Ovis aries: one gene and its partners. The protein of the gene in region 3 purifies or fractionates together with the protein of the main gene of each other region. This does not show direct contact. Links are inferred from orthologs where the notes say so. Each region holds a gene or a part of one and is shown on either strand. Other genes may lie near its edges.

Region 1 (3,659 bases), on a different chromosome or scaffold from region 3:
GCCCCACTATGAGCTTTGTGCTTAGACAGAGTCCACTGGGGGTGAGACCACCACCTCCCGACCAGGCTGGGGGCAGGAGGACCCATCTCCACCAGCAGAGGGCTCTGGGCCTCTCCTGGGCCCCCCAGGTCCACAGGGGCCTGGAAACCTCAGCAGGTGGCATCAGGAGCCTCAGCTTTATGGTCCGCGGGGCCAAAGCGCTCGCGCTTCGTCATCCCTCAGCGTCTGATGCAGAGCCCAACAGGTAACAGGCTGGGGTTGACGGGAGGTTTGGGGAGCGCAGGGCCTGGGAAGGTGGCTGGGGGACAGACTGGTGAGTAGACGTCACAGCAGAGTGACGGGGAGGGAACAAGGACGGGGGAGAGTGGGAGCGGGCAAGGCCCCTGTGGTGTGCTCCAGGGTGCGGCTGTGGGGGAAGAGGCTGTGGGCACTGCGTGGGAGGAGGGAGGAGGACACGGGGACAGGGCGTGGACAGCGGGGGGGACATGGGGACGGGAGCCCCCAGCACCACAGACTTAAGCCTCCAGATGATGGTCTGGGAGGCAGGTGCTGTCTCAGAGCGGGAGGCAAGCTCCTCTCTGCTGTGGGAAGATAAACAGTCAGGCTGAGAACGGGTGGGGTCAGGGGACTGCCTGCAGAGAAATGACCCTTTGGGGGCTCAGTCGGGAGGGGGCAGAAGATCAGCAGAGGGGCTGGTCCAGGCGCGCCAGGGGACCCTTGGGATTCCAGGCCAGGCGCCTGAGGACAGCTGCATGGAGGGAGGTCGGGGCGTGAGGGGCACGGGACCTGGGCCTGCCACAGAGAGGCTGAGACCCAAACTCTGGGCAACCTGTGAGGGGCTGTCCTGGGAAGGGGGATCGGAGCAAGGGGTCGGGCGATAGGCCAGGGCTGGAAATGATGGTTAGGAAGAAGCAGGCAGACGAAGAAGCAGGGAAACGGAGGTGGGGCTTCTCCCAGGGAACTTGGAGAAGCCGTGGCTGATCCTGGAGGAGCCGGGGCTGCCCCCGGCCCTGCCAGGAGGTCAGCTCTGAGTGGGCATGCATGGCCTTGTGAACGACCGCGCTGACCCAGCAGCAAACAGCACACACAGAGCCACTCTGCCTCCCCAAGGCCTTCTGGGCCTCAGGAGCACCCTCTCACCAACTGAGCGAGAACGGAGGGAACTCCATGCTTGGAACAGCAAGCTTCTAAAAGCCAGACTGGAGTTCAGGGCCCAAACCAAACTGGTGAGCAGGCCAGCGTTTAAGACTACTGGACACGCTCACCATTAGACGTCCAAACAATTGGGACCCAGTGTTCACGTTCACAACTGGGCTGAGGAGCAGTAACCCATGCGAGGAATGGCTGAGACCCTGGTGCACTCCAGGCAGGGCTGCGGGGTGGGGCTGCGGGCCTTGGCTCAGGAGCCTTCAGGCCACGGGCCCGGAAGACAGGGGGCAGAAATGTCGGTACTGGCAGTGCTGGGTACGACTGTCAGCTCCCCGCACCCTCCGGGAGATCAGTGCATAAACACTTCAATCAGCTGTCGCTCGCGACAGCAAATCAATCACGGAGGGAAATCCAGAGAGATCAGCCGCGTCTGTCTCTCTGTTGGAGAACATACCACACGTGAACAGGTGTTCCGTCTTTCCAGTCTCCTACCCTATCACTCAGAGAACGGCACAACGCAAGCAAGAAGACCGTCGGCATCAGAAAGGTGACGCAGAGTGCCTCTGACACTTCGGCCTCCGTCTTGTCCACCTTAAAGGTGCCTTTCCTGCCCCGCAGGGCTGCGTCCAGCCGCCCCACCCACTCCTGACCCTGCCCTGTGCCATCTGGTAGGGGAGCCCGCCAGGCAGAGCGGCTCTGGGGCAGGGGTGCTGAGCCTGTGTCCAAGCGCTTGGGCAGGCAGTAGGGCCTGGTCTGGGGCAGCTTGCTGTTTGTTCAGGGCCCCCAATTCTCCCAGGACGGGAGCTGCCAGGCAGTGTGATGGCTCTGCGTTTAACCTTTGGAGGAACCGCTGGACAGCTTTCCAGAGTAGTTCCTCTCATTCTCTACCAGAAAAGGGCTTTGCTTCCAATGTTAGCATTTGGAACCAGTTATTTGAAACTGCTGCTCTTGCTTCAATAACCAGCAGGGGGGGCCACACTGACCTCGGTGCCGCCTGCTGCTGAAAGCAGGTTGGGAGTGACCGACCAGATGCTGGATGGAGGGACGCAGACCTCTGGGCAGGAGCCCTCTGGCCGAGGCTGCTGCAATGGGCAGGCAGAGCGCCAGTGTCCAGGGGCCTGGAACCTGTGCTTTGGGGGCCCTGTGCCTCTGCTGGGCACTCTCCGCTGGGGACTCTCTGCTGGAAGTTTGCTTAAGAGGATAAATCCCCTTAAGAAACCCCAGAGACTCCTGAGGGGCAAGGAGAATAAGCCACCCAGGGACACAGACGCTTCGGGAACATAGCCCACCCCACTCCTGCCTCCTTCATGCCACCAACGGGACAAGCTGCTCACTGCCCTGTGTCCCCGGCCCCGCCCCCACGTGTCCCCGGCCCCGCCCCCATCACTCCTGGCCCTACCCCCACGTGTTCCTGACCCCGCCCCCACCACTCCTGGCCCCGCCCCGCGCCTCACCTTGTTGAGGTGCAGCTGCGGCTGCTGGAAGTGCTGCTTGTGCTTCTCCAGGAACTGCTGGTGCTGCTGCTGGATGACCAGGTGCTGCAGCGCCTGCGCGCTCTGAGGCAGCGGCGCCGACTGCGTGCGGCCCAGCGGGCGGTGCTGCCGCAGCTTGTGCACCGAGGGTGCCACGCGCTCGGCCCCCACCAGGGGCTGCGCGTGCAGGGGCAGCGCGCCCAGGCCTGCAAGATAGCGGTCTGGAGAGAGCACGGGGAGGGGAGGAACAGAAGGGAGGGGCGAGGCCTGGTGAGTCCGTGACGGAGGCTGGCCGCCACAGCCTCCCCGAAGCCCGCCAGGTCTGCTCCTGCACGCTGACCACCCGAAGCCTGGACTTAGGGGCAGTGGCCAGTCATCTGGTCCCCCCATACCCAGTCCAGGTCGTAAGTGGGCAGCCCCAGCACAGGCGCCCTCAGAGGAAGGGGCTAGGGTCTGGTGGCTCCAGAATGTTCTGGAAGACCAGCGAGTGGGCACCTTTTTGACAGCCTCAGAAACCCAGGTGTGAGGAAGACACCTGCCCTTATGAACCAAACCATTTTAAGGGTCTCAAGACGTCGATTTTATACACAAAGAGGGCATCAACACTTGAAAAAAATTCTGATGCATGTTGTCAAAATCTCTGCAAATTTCTAGGAAAGGCTGTCACCTGCTGCCCAGGAGAAGGGCAGCTCGGCCGCACCGTGTCTGGGCTGAGTGTTTAAATTAAGAATCTGTGTGGACAGAAGAGGGTAGGTTTGAATCTGTGTTTGAATCTTGCTTCAAAATGCAACCTCCTCATGTGAACCAGGAGGGGGAATGTTCTCCTTCTATATTCCTTTCAGCCATCAGTACTTTTTCTTTTATAAATTGTGGGTTTAGACAGTTTACCATTTTCCCTGGTACCACAGGCAAAAGGGTGTAACAGACCCTTCCCAGGCCCCCTGCGTATCTGTCCCTCGGCACCAGAGCTGGAGAAACTAACCACATCACTCAGGCTGCCTGTGACCCCAGATCAGGGCGTCTGACCAGGAAAATCAC
Region 2 (4,207 bases), on a different chromosome or scaffold from region 3:
CGGAGAAGCGCGGGCTCCTCCGCCCGCGGCCGGGGCTCGGCTTGGGCCTCGCTTCCTGCCCTCCCCTCCCCCGGCTCTCGGCGTCCTCTCCATTTGCCCTGGTCCTCTCTCGCCCAGTTCTCTGCCTGGAACTCGCCCCGGGTCTCCAGGCGTCCACCGCACCCACGGCTCGCTCCCCGCCGCCTGGCCCCGGCCCCGACCCGGCGCGCGTCCTCAGCCGCCTCGGTTACCCGGCGCAGCGCGGCCTCCGGGCTTCCCGCTCCGGCGGCTCCCTCCCCGGCTCTGATCGGCGGCGCCCTCCCCCGCTCGGCCGGGCACAGCCGCAGCTCCCTCCCGCGGCGGCAGCGGCTCCTCCTCCGGGCGCGGCGGCGGCGGCGCTGGGGCGGCGGCTGCTGCTGTGGCGGCGGCGGCTGCGGCTGTGGCTGCTGCCTGCTGCTCCTCGCGGCGAAAAGCACAAAGCACAGCGCCCTCCGCCTGCAGGCAGCCCGCCCGCCGCCCGCCCGCCGGCCCCGGCCTCAGCTCGCACACCCCCCGCCGCCGCCGCAGCCTCCGCCGCCGGAGCGGGGAGGAGGAGGGAGAAGGGAGGAGGAGGAGCGGGAGGGGGGGCGGGAGAAGCGGGGCAGCGAGCGCGTCCTTCCCCGTAGAGCGCACACCGACCCCCGGGGAGCGAGCGCCAGCCCGCCCGCCTCGCCGGCTCCGCTCCCTCCCACAGCCTGCCCGGGCGGGCTCCGCGGGGGGCAGCTGGGAGGAGGGGCGGGAGCTGGGGGGACCCGGGCGGCCGAGGCGGAGGGAAGGAAGGAGGGGAGGGGGGTAGTGCTGGTGGTGGTGGTGGTGGTGGCGGCGGCGGCGGCTGCTGCTGCCGCCGGGGAGGGGGGGGGGGGGTCGGGGCAGGGAGACACGCAGCCGCCCGGATGGCGGCGGGGCTCGGAGCCGAGGCGGGCGGGCGCCGAGAGCGACCTCGCCAGACCCGCGGGGGAACTAGCAGGCTCGGCCGGCGCAGGAGGGAGGGCGCGAGGCGCGACCGCAGAGAGGGTGCCGGAGGGCCCCCCGGCAGCTGGAGAGGCTCCGGGGGTGTTTGCAGCCCAGCTCCAGAGCTCTCTCCCCCAGCTCAGATTCGGGCTTCCACTCCAGCCCTCACCCGCTCACTCGCCCGCCTCCCGGAGCGGGCATTTCGCGCCCACCCTTATCCCCGGAGCGTAGCCACCGGCTTGGGGCGCACGCAAGCCAATCGCCGTGCCAGGCTTCGGAGCCTGCCTCGCTGCTAAGCAGCACACACACGAAACTTGAAAAAAAAAAAAATCCCTAAAAAATGTCCTCTTTGCAAATTAAAACAGAAAAAAAAAATCTTCTTTGCTCTTTAAATCCCACAAGCGGCGATAAAGCTACGAGTCGGCGGAGGAGCCTCTGTGGGAGCTGGTTCAATCCAGCCCGGCATGGCTCCCCAGGCCTGCCCGGGCGCATGGAGATCGGCGCCGCCGCCACTCGTAGAAACCCCTCTCCCCCGAAATCCGCGGCGCCGGGGCTCACTTACCGAGCGTGTGAATGGGAGCACGGGCCAAGGGCGCCTTAAGGGTGCGGCGGGCCGAAGAGCTGAGCCGCAGCTCCGCCGCAGCCGACGCCGGGGCAGCAAGCCGCCAGACAAAGCCCGAGATGGCGAAGCGGAGCGACGGCTAATGGCGAGCCCCACGCGCCGCGCTCCGCCCGCCCCGCTCCGCCCGCCCGCCCGCCCGCCTCGGCGCAGCGCAGCGCCGCTCCGAGCGCTAGCCCGTCAGAGCCGCCTCGGCGCCGCCGCCTCCCGGGCCACCCCGGCCTCGCCTGGCCCCTCCGCCTCCTCCGGGCGACTCAGCCTCACCCCTTCCCTCCCACCGTGCTGGGGGCTGCACGAAAATAAAAAAAAAGAAAAGGAAAAATGCTTTTCTTTTTTTTTCCTCCTTTTGGCAGGGCGGGCGTGTTGAGACTTTCGAGTCTTTTTGCCCCCAGCTCGCACTCACCTGCGGAGCCGCCGGGAGGGCTGGGGGTGGGGGCGCGTGGGGCTGGAGCCGGCGAGCGCGGGTTGAAAGCTAGCCAAGCTCTGCAGCGCCCGACCCGGGCGTATACGCCGCCGCCAGTCCCCGCAGAGAAATCGTCCTCCTACCCCCGCCTCCATCGCTCTGCGTTTCTCTTCCAATCAGCCGATCGCTTGGCGGCTCCTCCATTCTCCGGCCAAGCCTGCTGCCTAGAGCGAGCTCCACTCCTCCATCTGCTCGCCCGGCTCCTCGCTCCCCTGCCGGGGCCGGCGAGGCGACGTTGGGCCGGAGGGGGATTTGCGAGGGAACCTGCCGGCTTCCCGCTCCCATTGCTCCCTCCCCGCTGCCTCCTGCTTCTCTCCTGCGTCTTTCCAACTCTCCCCTGTCGCCACTGGTGTGTGTCTGAGTGTATGCGCGGGTTTCTTTCTTTTTTTTTTTTTTTTTTTATTGCTCTTTGCTTTTGCAACCCTGGAGCCAAAGCAGGGTGGGGGGGAGAGAAAAGGGGGGGAAGGGTGTTACCAAAAAAAAAAAAAAAAAGCAAGCAAGAAAAGCTCTTAGGTTTGCAACACATTGGAAAACCGGGGGAGTGCCCCGCCTCGTCCGTTCTCGGTGCCCCGCGAGGGCCTTCCGGGTTTTAGAGCGAACCTCTCGCTATTCTCAATGCCCCTCACCTCCTCCGAGTTTAGGATCCGAGGAGTCCGAGCAAAGAGTTCTCCCCTTGGGCCATAGTAAAGGGGTGTCAGGGTGAGAGTTGGGGGCATTTTTCAAGAAGCAGCAACCATCCGTCCCACCCCTGCTTCGGTAGCTGGGCCGCGGGAGTCGGTTGAGAGCAAAAATCCCGGTGGGTTTAGGCGAAGGGGATTCCGGGGCGAAGCGGAGCCGCGAGACCGCGCTTCGCGCATCTCCCCTTCGGTCTCTGCCTCCAGTCTCCAGCCTGCTCCCCCTTTAATTTCCAAACCCCCCCCCCCCTCCTTTAATCTAATTTCTTCCAACTCCACCTTTGTTGTTAACCGGCGTCACGCCCGGACCAGCCAATCCCCGGCACGCTATCAGCTTGTCAAAAAGGCTTGGCCAGCCCTGGGAAAGCAGGCCGCGGGCTCTGCTCCCCCTGCCCCTCCTCCCCCCGGCGGCGGCGGGGAGCCGCGAGGGGAGCCTGGCACCCCGGCCTCGCCGCCAGAGCCCCAGCGGGGCAGCCTTCCCGTAGGCCTCCGCTCTCCACCATCCTGCGGGCCGGAGATAGAAAGGCCTAGGCGCGACCACCATCTACCCTCCCACTGCCGTCGGCTGCGGTTGTCTGTCTCTGCCTCTCCTCCACCGAGAAAGGTTCATCTGGACGCAGGAAGCCAGAAGACGGTCTGAAGAACGCTTGCTTCCATCAGGCGAGCCTACGGTTTGGGCCATCGCTCCGGGGCGGCGCCATCGCCCCCGGCTCTAGGGATGCCAGCCTACCACAGCGGCACTGCCAGCTGGGCCGCCGGCCCCTTTGGACTCTTCCCCTGTCACACAGCCTTCTCCATCCCCACACCACGGCCTCGCTGTTGCTGTAATTTATCTTGTCCCCTGGGAGAACTGAGAGTCCTTTCCCAGGACTTCCACAGCCCACATCTGCCACGTTTCACAAACCGGGAGGAAAATCTTGTCAAGATCTGGTGTGTCCGAATTTTTTAGTGGGTAGGCGGGGCCAATTTACCTTGATGCTAGTGAAGCTTAAGCTTCAGGGCCCTCATCGCAGGCTATCTCTTTACTTTTGATTCATCATTTGGTATTATTTTTTACTCGCCCCTCCCCCTCCCCACAAACCCAGTTCTGCCCTTGGAACTTACAGAGGGCATTTTGTGAAGGACCAAGCCATGTCACGCTGTACTTAGAACCTGCTGCTGCTGCTGCTAAGTCGCTTCAGTCGTGTCCGACTCTGCGTGACCCCACAGACGGCAGCCCACCAGGCTCCTCCGACTCTGGGATTCTCCAGGCAAGAATACTGGAGTGGGTTGCCATTTCCTTCTCCAACTTAGAACCTGCAGGGAATGACTTTCTTGTTTTGACTTCGAAACATCAAAGGGTTTGGAGTCAGAAGTCCCAGGTTTCCAGCCTCTGGGCTTTCCCACCTTAACAGTGTGAGTTTGGTTAAATGTCTTAACTTCATCTGATCCCAGTTTTCTTGTCTATAAAATTAGAATAGCAGCTGTGTGGTTACTTCAGTC
Region 3 (4,321 bases):
CTTCTATTATAAACAAAAAACACAGCTTCTGTTAACCCACTCCATTCTGAGCTCAGAGAAATCAATAACATTTAACAATCTAAGTTACAACATAAGAATTTTACTTTATATTTGTATAAGATTTGCTATCAAAGGCTCTGTTAAAGCTAATATCCAAAGAAACTATTTAAAGGATTATACAAAATGAGTATATTTCCTTAAAAACTCAAAAATTATTACAAGCATAAAGAAAACTAAGATCCATCCAATAAACTTGGGCTGCTATAATTCTTGCTATTCATTTTTATAAGATACTCAAACTAGCCATGAGATAAAGGTAAATGTAATACAAAATGTACCAATTATATTTCATCTTTATTGTAGGAGCCAGCATCCAATATTGATCATACATAAACTAGACAGACATGATTTAATATTTGTAAAGGAATTCCCAGACTAACACTTTCATGACAGCCAATTTACAGTCAAGCCCAGCAAGCAGTTTGCAACCAGACCTTAAAAAAGGTAAACTTTTTTACAATGAGTTACAGATTCACGAGTTTAAGAAGACAAGAAAAAGAAAAACAGGACTCCAATCACCCAGCAAATATGAAGCAGACCCCAGAATGTGATACAGTCCAAAGATGTAAATTATTGTAAATCATCACTGTTGTTCAGGATTTCACACACCGCCTCTTGAGCCAATTTTGCTCACTTCTCCACAGACACAATAATGAACTAAATAAAAGGAGGAGGCACCAAAAATATAGGGATGGGGGATAGAAAAGAAAGCCCCCAAATGCAGAGCTCTGCTCCACAGACGCTTAACCTTACAGGAGTTTGGGCTCCTTCAGCATTTGTATTCTATCCAAATCCTCATGAGTCACAAAAATTAAAAAGCTATATCCTTCTGGATGCCAGGAAGGGCCTTACCACAAGCCTTTTGTCAGAGGGAGAGAGAGAAAGAAAGAGCATGAGCAAGGGGGGGAAGCCACAGTGGTAGGCAGTCCCACTTGACTGTGAGTACTGTGAGGTCACAAACCACATGATTCTGTCTCTCCAGTAATAGTGCTTGCAAAAAAAAGGAGTTTGAAAGCTTTTGCTTTTTTGGATTGTGTGAATGCTTCATTCGCCTCACAAACAACCACAGAACCACAAGTGCGGTGCAAACTTTCTCCAGGAGGACAGCAAGAAGTCTCTGGTTTTTAAATGGTTAATCTCCGCAGGTCCCTACCAGCCACCGAGACCAACAGAGTCAGTGAGTGCTCTCTAAACCACAGTCTATGCAGTAATAGTAGGTCCTTCCAATATTTGCTCATTCTCTTTTTTGTTTTGTTTCCTTGCTTTTCCCATGCTACCAGCTACATAATTTCTTGACAGAAAAAAAATAAATATCAAGTCTATGTACTGCAGGCATACTGTAAAACTAAAACAAGGCTTGGGTATGGTTTGTGTTTTCAGTTTAAGGCTGCAAGCAGAATTTACAACAGAGGGTCCAAGTTCTATCTGAAAAAAAAGGAGGGACTATGGCATCAAACAGCCTCTTCAGCACAGTGACACCATGTCAGCAAAACTTCTTTTGGGGTAAGTGTTATCATATTTTAAAATCCTATCAGAGATGAACCTGTTAAACAGAAAGGTATGTTGCTCGGATAAACTTGCTAGCTTCGCCGGCTAACATTATATGAAAGGTCATAATGATGCTGTTTTGTTGCACTGAAAGCTGAAAAATGAAATTGCAGTACAAATGTGCTTCTGGCATCTGTAACTTATCTACTTCTCGGGCTAATGACTTGAAATAGAAAAAATTAAATTATCTCACATTAGTCTAAATGTTTTCTAGGGTTATTGAGATGAGGTAGCCGAAACAGTAAAGCAAAGTTTAATACTCTCATTAACCCTCACTGAAATAAAATTAGACACTAAATTAGTCAAAGTATTGTGAAAAGTATTCATTCCGGCAGCTCCCAATATTTGAGCAAACTTTAAAAAGGAAGCAATTTTACAAAATAACAGACCACAGAAGTATCTTGACATTATACTCAAGCATGCAAACAGAGAAAGAAACCTGCAGTATAACTAACATTTTAACCAGCTCAACTAAAAGATATCTATTTATAATTTTAAACTGTATCATAAGCTATCTGCACAAGCTTGTTTCTAAACAATTTTACAGAACTGAAGCATACATTCAAAAAAATTATGATAAGTATGTAACAGCCATTTTTAAAAACTCTTTATAGTTGCCCAGGAATCCAAGATATTGAAAAGCTCACAGACGTCTTCAAAACCTTACATGCAATCATAACTTTCTATACAATTTTCATTTACATCTACACACTATTACCCATATGTAGAACTTGTTATAAACCCACAGCAAACATCGAAATGTCTAGGATTCTTTTAATCATATTCTTGAACCTACCAAGTGAGTTATCGTTTAGTCTCATAAAAAAGAAAATTCTGTAAGGATACTCTGCATGATTTAAAAGAGCCAGACCAATTAAGTCATGCTGGACTTTAAATAAAACAGGCATAATGTAGTATTAATATTTAATTTCCAGTTAGTGTTGATACAGAAAGTAAACTACTTTAACATTCATCAGCCAAAGTGGTATTGTAGTAAAATAGCTAAACACTTACAAGATTTTCTTTATGATGTCCAACATGTTCTCTAAGACAAGTTTATAAAATTTTCTTTTATCCCTTAAAATAAATCCTTTTGCTGTGTATACCTGTATTAACTTTGCTTTATAACTTACAACTAACGATTGGAGTTTCCTTTACTCCTCCTACTTCACACATTTTAACTGGCTACCAGAGGATCAGTCTTAGTTTCGGTCAAAGAGAAATAATTAAACCTGAAGGAGAAAAAAGGTTTCTCTTAAAAGGGTGAGGAAATGTACTATGTATTTTACTAAAAAATGTAAAACTGCTGTAGTGACTCCTCAACAGCTCTAAGTGGGCCCCCTCGGTTATAACACATCCAATATAATGATCACAGATTATTTTTTTAATGTAATGGAAGGTAATGAGCATTACTGTAAAAACTTTTGCATTAAGGAAGCAGAACATATACACAACTAGACTGCATTAACAACTCTTATAATTATAGTTTCTACATGGAAACTTTTGCTATACCTACTCAAGAAGAGGGGGAAAAATGCTTGAAACAATTGTTATATGGAGGGATAACTTGAAACAGGCACCTCAAGAAGTTAAGTTACTCTTCACAATATTACTCTGCTTTTAAAAAAAATAATGAGTTTTCAAACCAGATCAGGAACACAAATTTCAAGCACTATTTCAGCATCAGATTTAAAGTTATTAATATAGTCACAAAAAATATGTTTAAATGTTCTTTATTCTATCATGACAGGGAGTCTTACATTTCTGTAACATCCTTATAACTATTTCTATAGTAAAATTTGCAAAACTTGACCAAGTTAGAAACAAGGCATTAACAGTGAATTAGATAATCTTCTATCACATGTCATATATGCTTATACATCATAACTTAAGTCTTCTTCTTCTGCAAAGTGGAATTTACCCCTTCCCGCACCCAAACAGTATTGGAGAGCCTGAATAGAGAACAGAAAATGAACCCACTTCACCGGACTAATTACAGGTGGGTGGTGGACAGAAGGTACAGGGTATCATCACATTACAAACATTTCCCCCTTCTGGAATCTATCTGAAGTCTGAAACCTCACTTTAGGCTTTAAATGTTTACATAATTGATCACCAAAATAACCTAGTGAAATGTCAAAAGTATGTACTTCAATTTTGTAAAATACTTTTAAAAGTTCGGGCTCTTCCTAGGTGAGGGACAAAGCTGACCAACTGTTTCACCTCAAAATAATGAGGGAAAAGAGTGTGAGTGTATGTGTGAGTATGTAAGAGAGTGTGTGTGTTGTGTATGAATTTTCAATCTGCGCTACTCAAAATCTGTTCATTATTTATCATAAATTAAGTCTGTTAAAATAAATAGATGTAACTCATGGAGCATCTTACCATTAAAAACTTACTTATGAAAATATATCAGCTGACAAACAATTTCTACATAAAACTTTGCAACTGATCATAGTGCCGGACAGAACGTGATGTGTGAACACTGACTTCCAAAACAATACTTGTGGTTCATATCAATGATAGTGACTTTATAGTTTCAAGATTGACTAGCAACAAAGTGTCACAACTTGCTTCTAAAATAAGAGAGCTAAACTCCAAAATCCAGGGATCTCCCCTGATTTAAAAAGAACATACACAGAGGATCCACTCCTATTAAAAACTACCAAGGTTGATGTAATTTCCAAAGATACTTATTATGAATTATTTTACA
Region 4 (3,659 bases), on a different chromosome or scaffold from region 3:
ATGGCCGCAAGTCCACATGCTCGTAACCGTTTCAGGCTGTGCCTGTTCTCTTCTGTTCCCCAAATACACGTTCCAAAGGTGTGTGAGACAGGAGTTATTTTCTCCAACCAGAATCTTTGTCAGCTCATAATTATATGTTTGAGAGGATGCTTCACAGATTATCAAAATCCAGAGGCAGTAAAAACATAAAACACATAGCCAATAAAAAAGATATAAGAAATATTTACACCTTAAAAAGGTATGACTTCCAATTTATTGCACTGCACATTGAAGGAAAGATCTCTGAGTTCATCATCAACTTTGAAAACCTTAAAAAAATATCTGCGACTTCTGAAAAAGTCTGAGGTTATTTCCAGTCCTTTACTTTAAAAAGTGCTAATTCTCACTGGTCATAGCAAACACCCTCTTCCAACAACACAAGAGAAGACTCTACACATGGACACCACCAGATAGTCCACATGGACATCAGATTGATTATATTCTTTGCAGCCAAAGATGGAGAAGCTCCATACAGCCAGCAAAAACAAGACTGGGAGCTGACTGTGGCTCAGATCATGAACTCCTTATTGCCAAATTCAGACTTAAATTGAAGAAAGTAGGGAAAACCGCTAGACCATTCAGGTATGACCTAAATCAAATTCCTTATGATTAGTGAGAAATAGATTTAAGGACCTAGATCTGATAGAGTGCCTGATGAATTATGGACGGAGCTTTGTGACATTGTATAGGAGACAGGGATCAAGACCATCCCCATGGAAAAGAAATGCAAAAAAAGCAAAATGGCTGTCTGAGGAGGCCTTACAAATAGCTGTGAAAAGAAGACAAGCAAAAAGCAAAGGAGAAAAGGAAAGATATAAGCATCTGAATGCAGAGTTCCAAAGAATAGCAAGAAGAGATAAGAAAGCCTTTTTCAGCAATCGATGCAAAGAAATAGAGGAAAACAACAGATTGGGAAAGACTAGAGATCTCTTCAAGAAAATTAGAGATACCAAGGGAACATTTCATGCAAAGATGGGCTCGATAAAGGACAGAAATGGTATGGAGCTAACAGAAGCAGAGATATTAAGAAGAGGTGGCAAGAATACACAGAAGAACTGTACAAAAAAGATCTTCACGATCCAGATAATCACAATGGTGTGTCACTCACCTAGAGCCAGACATCCTGCAATGGGAAATCAAGTGGGCCTTAGAAAGTATCACAATGAACAAAGCTAGTGGAGGTGATGGAATTCCAGTTGAACTCTTTCAAATCCTGAAAGATGATGCTGTGAAAGTGCTGCACTCAATATGCCAGCAAATTTGGAAAACTCAGCAGTGGCCACAAGACTGGAAAAGGTCAGTTTTCATTCCAATCCCAAAGAAAGGCAATGCCAAAGAATGCTTAAACTACTGCACAATTGCACTCATCTCACATGCTAGTAAAGTAATGCTCAAAATTCTCCAACCCAGGCTTTAGCAATACGTGAACCATGAACTTCCTGATGTTCAAGTTGGTTTTAGAAAAGGCAGAGGAACTGGAGATCAAATTGCCAACATCTGCTGGATCATGGAAAAAGCAAGAGAGTTCCAGAAAAACATCTATTTCTGCTTTACTATGTCAAAGCCTTTGATTGGATCACAATAAACTGTGGAAAATTCTGAAAGAGATGGGAATACCAGACCACCTGACCTGCCTCTTGAGAAACCTGTATGGAGGTCAAGAAGCAACAGTTAGAATTGGACATGGATCAACAGACGGTTCCAAATAGGAAAAGGAGTACGTCAAGGCTGTATATTGTCACCCTGCTTATTTAACTTCCATGCAGAGTACATCATGAGAAACACTGGGCTGGAAGAAGCACAAGCTGAAATCAAGATTGCTGGGAGAAATATCAATAACCTCAGAGATGCAGATGACACCACCCTTATGGCAGAAAGTGAAGAGGAACTAAAAAGCCTCTTGATGAAAGTGAAAGAGGAGAGTGAAAAAGCTGGCTTAAAGCTCAACATTCAGAAGATCATGGCATCTGGTCCCATCACTTCATGGGAAATAGATGGGGAAACAGTAGAAGACTTTATTTTGGGGGCTTCAAAATCACTGCAGATGGTGACTGCAGCCATGAAATTAAAAAACGCTTACTCCTTGGAAGGAAAGTGATGACCAACCTAGATAGTGTATTCAGAAGCAGAGACATTACTTTGCCAATAAAGGTCCATCTAGTCAAGGCTATGGTTTTTCCAGTGGTCATGTATGGATGTGAGAGTTGGACTGTGAAGAAAGCTGAGTGCCAAAGAATTGATGCTTTTGAACTGTGGTGTTGGAGAAGACTCCTGAGAGTCCCTTGGACTGTAAGGAGATCCAACCAGTCCATTCTAAAGGAGATCAGTCCTGGGTGTTCTTTGGAAGGACTGATGCTAAAGCTGAAACTCCAATACTTTGGCCACCTCATGTGAAGAGCTGACTCATTGGAAAAAAGCCTGATGCTGGGAGGGATTAGGGGCAGGAGAAGAAGGGGACGACAGAGGATGAGATGGCTGGATGGCATCACCGACTCGATGCACGTGAATTTGGGTGAACTCTGGGAGCTGGTGATGGTCAGGGAGACCTGGCATGCTGCAATTCATGGGGTTGCAAAGAGTCGGACACGACTGACCGACTGAACTGAACTGAAAGAAGGAAATAAGACATACCTAATAATGAACTTGTATTTTAACTTCAATTTGAGTTGCTGTCTTTTAGTCACAAAGTCGTGTCAGACTCTTTGTGACCCCACGGACTGTAGCCAGCCAGGCTCCTGTCCATGGAATCCTCCAGGCAAGAATACTGGAGTGGGTTGCCATTTCCTATTCAAGGGGATCTTCCCAACCCAGGTACTGAACCTGTGTGTCCTTCATTGTAGGCGGATCCTTTACCACTGTGCCACCTGAGAAGTCCTTCTGTTTGCCTTAATTGAAGCGTGCACACAGGGAACAAATGCTCTTAGTTTGGTTCAGCTGCCACTATTCTAGATGAGGGCCAGAAGGAAGATGAGGCTTACGAATATTTATCCTGACAACAAAAGAAGCGTTTGGAACGCCTTGTTGTATGAACTTTTCATTTTGGAAATCCCAGTGAAAACTCTATTTCAATTTTATATTCACTTCCCACCCCCGCTCAACATCCCTTGGTCTTTCACTTAAAAATATTCTTTTATCACCAATTTGGAAGTATTAAGTACTAAGGCTCTAAACAGATGGCTGCACAATTATATTTAGACTTTCATTAGCTAAATCGGTGTATCTGTTCTTCATATAAAAGGCTTATTTCTAAACCAAGGAATTCTTTTTAGTGAAATTCTCTTGTTATAAATGCTCCTTTTCAAATAGCTATCTTTTTCAAGACTAATAAAAAATTTGTGGGAGCGAGCAACATTTGGACAGAGAACTTCAGATTCTAAAAAGAGAATAAGCAGCAGTTCATTTTTACCTCCTCTGTTGATTTCTGAGGGCAGAGAAGGCGCCATCATATTTGTGTCCATGGGTTGAGAGCCATCCTGGGTCATGGGGTCTTCAGGGGGCAGGTAAGCAGGTGGGGGTGTATCTGCTACAAAATTTGGAAAAAAAAAAAGATTTGTTTATCCTTAGTAAACACGCAAGCACACAAGCTTAAAACATATATTCTCTTCCATGCCAAAATTCTT

The links.
Region 1: the proteins of RUNX2 (region 3) and HDAC4 purify together in Homo sapiens (affinity purification with western blotting; 3 studies listed by BioGRID). This does not show direct contact. The link is inferred for Ovis aries from reciprocal best matches to the Homo sapiens genes RUNX2 and HDAC4.
Region 2: the proteins of RUNX2 (region 3) and UBTF purify together in Homo sapiens (co-immunoprecipitation; 3 studies listed by BioGRID and IntAct, with this or other methods). This does not show direct contact. The link is inferred for Ovis aries from reciprocal best matches to the Homo sapiens genes RUNX2 and UBTF.
Region 4: the proteins of RUNX2 (region 3) and SMAD1 purify together in Homo sapiens (affinity purification with western blotting; 3 studies listed by BioGRID). This does not show direct contact. The link is inferred for Ovis aries from reciprocal best matches to the Homo sapiens genes RUNX2 and SMAD1.

Annotation. Positions count from the first base shown.
Region 1 is NC_056054.1:2,354,793-2,358,451, reverse strand, and holds part of HDAC4 (histone deacetylase 4), read right to left. Parts: intron 2,843-3,659; coding exon 2,604-2,842; intron 1-2,603. UniProt on the Homo sapiens protein: Responsible for the deacetylation of lysine residues on the N-terminal part of the core histones (H2A, H2B, H3 and H4).
Region 2 is NC_056064.1:43,773,760-43,777,966, forward strand, and holds the start of UBTF (nucleolar transcription factor 1), read right to left. Parts: upstream 2,931-4,207; 5' UTR 2,678-2,930; intron 2,096-2,677; exon of another isoform or gene 1,992-2,095; intron 1,802-1,991; exon of another isoform or gene 1-1,801. UniProt on the Homo sapiens protein: Recognizes the ribosomal RNA gene promoter and activates transcription mediated by RNA polymerase I (Pol I) through cooperative interactions with the transcription factor SL1/TIF-IB complex.
Region 3 is NC_056073.1:18,565,198-18,569,518, forward strand, and holds the start of RUNX2 (runt-related transcription factor 2), read left to right. Parts: upstream 1-1,440; 5' UTR 1,441-1,505; coding exon 1,506-1,563; intron 1,564-4,321. UniProt on the Homo sapiens protein: Transcription factor involved in osteoblastic differentiation and skeletal morphogenesis. Essential for the maturation of osteoblasts and both intramembranous and endochondral ossification.
Region 4 is NC_056070.1:12,815,819-12,819,477, forward strand, and holds part of SMAD1 (mothers against decapentaplegic homolog 1), read right to left. Parts: intron 3,563-3,659; coding exon 3,446-3,562; intron 1-3,445. UniProt on the Homo sapiens protein: Transcriptional modulator that plays a role in various cellular processes, including embryonic development, cell differentiation, and tissue homeostasis.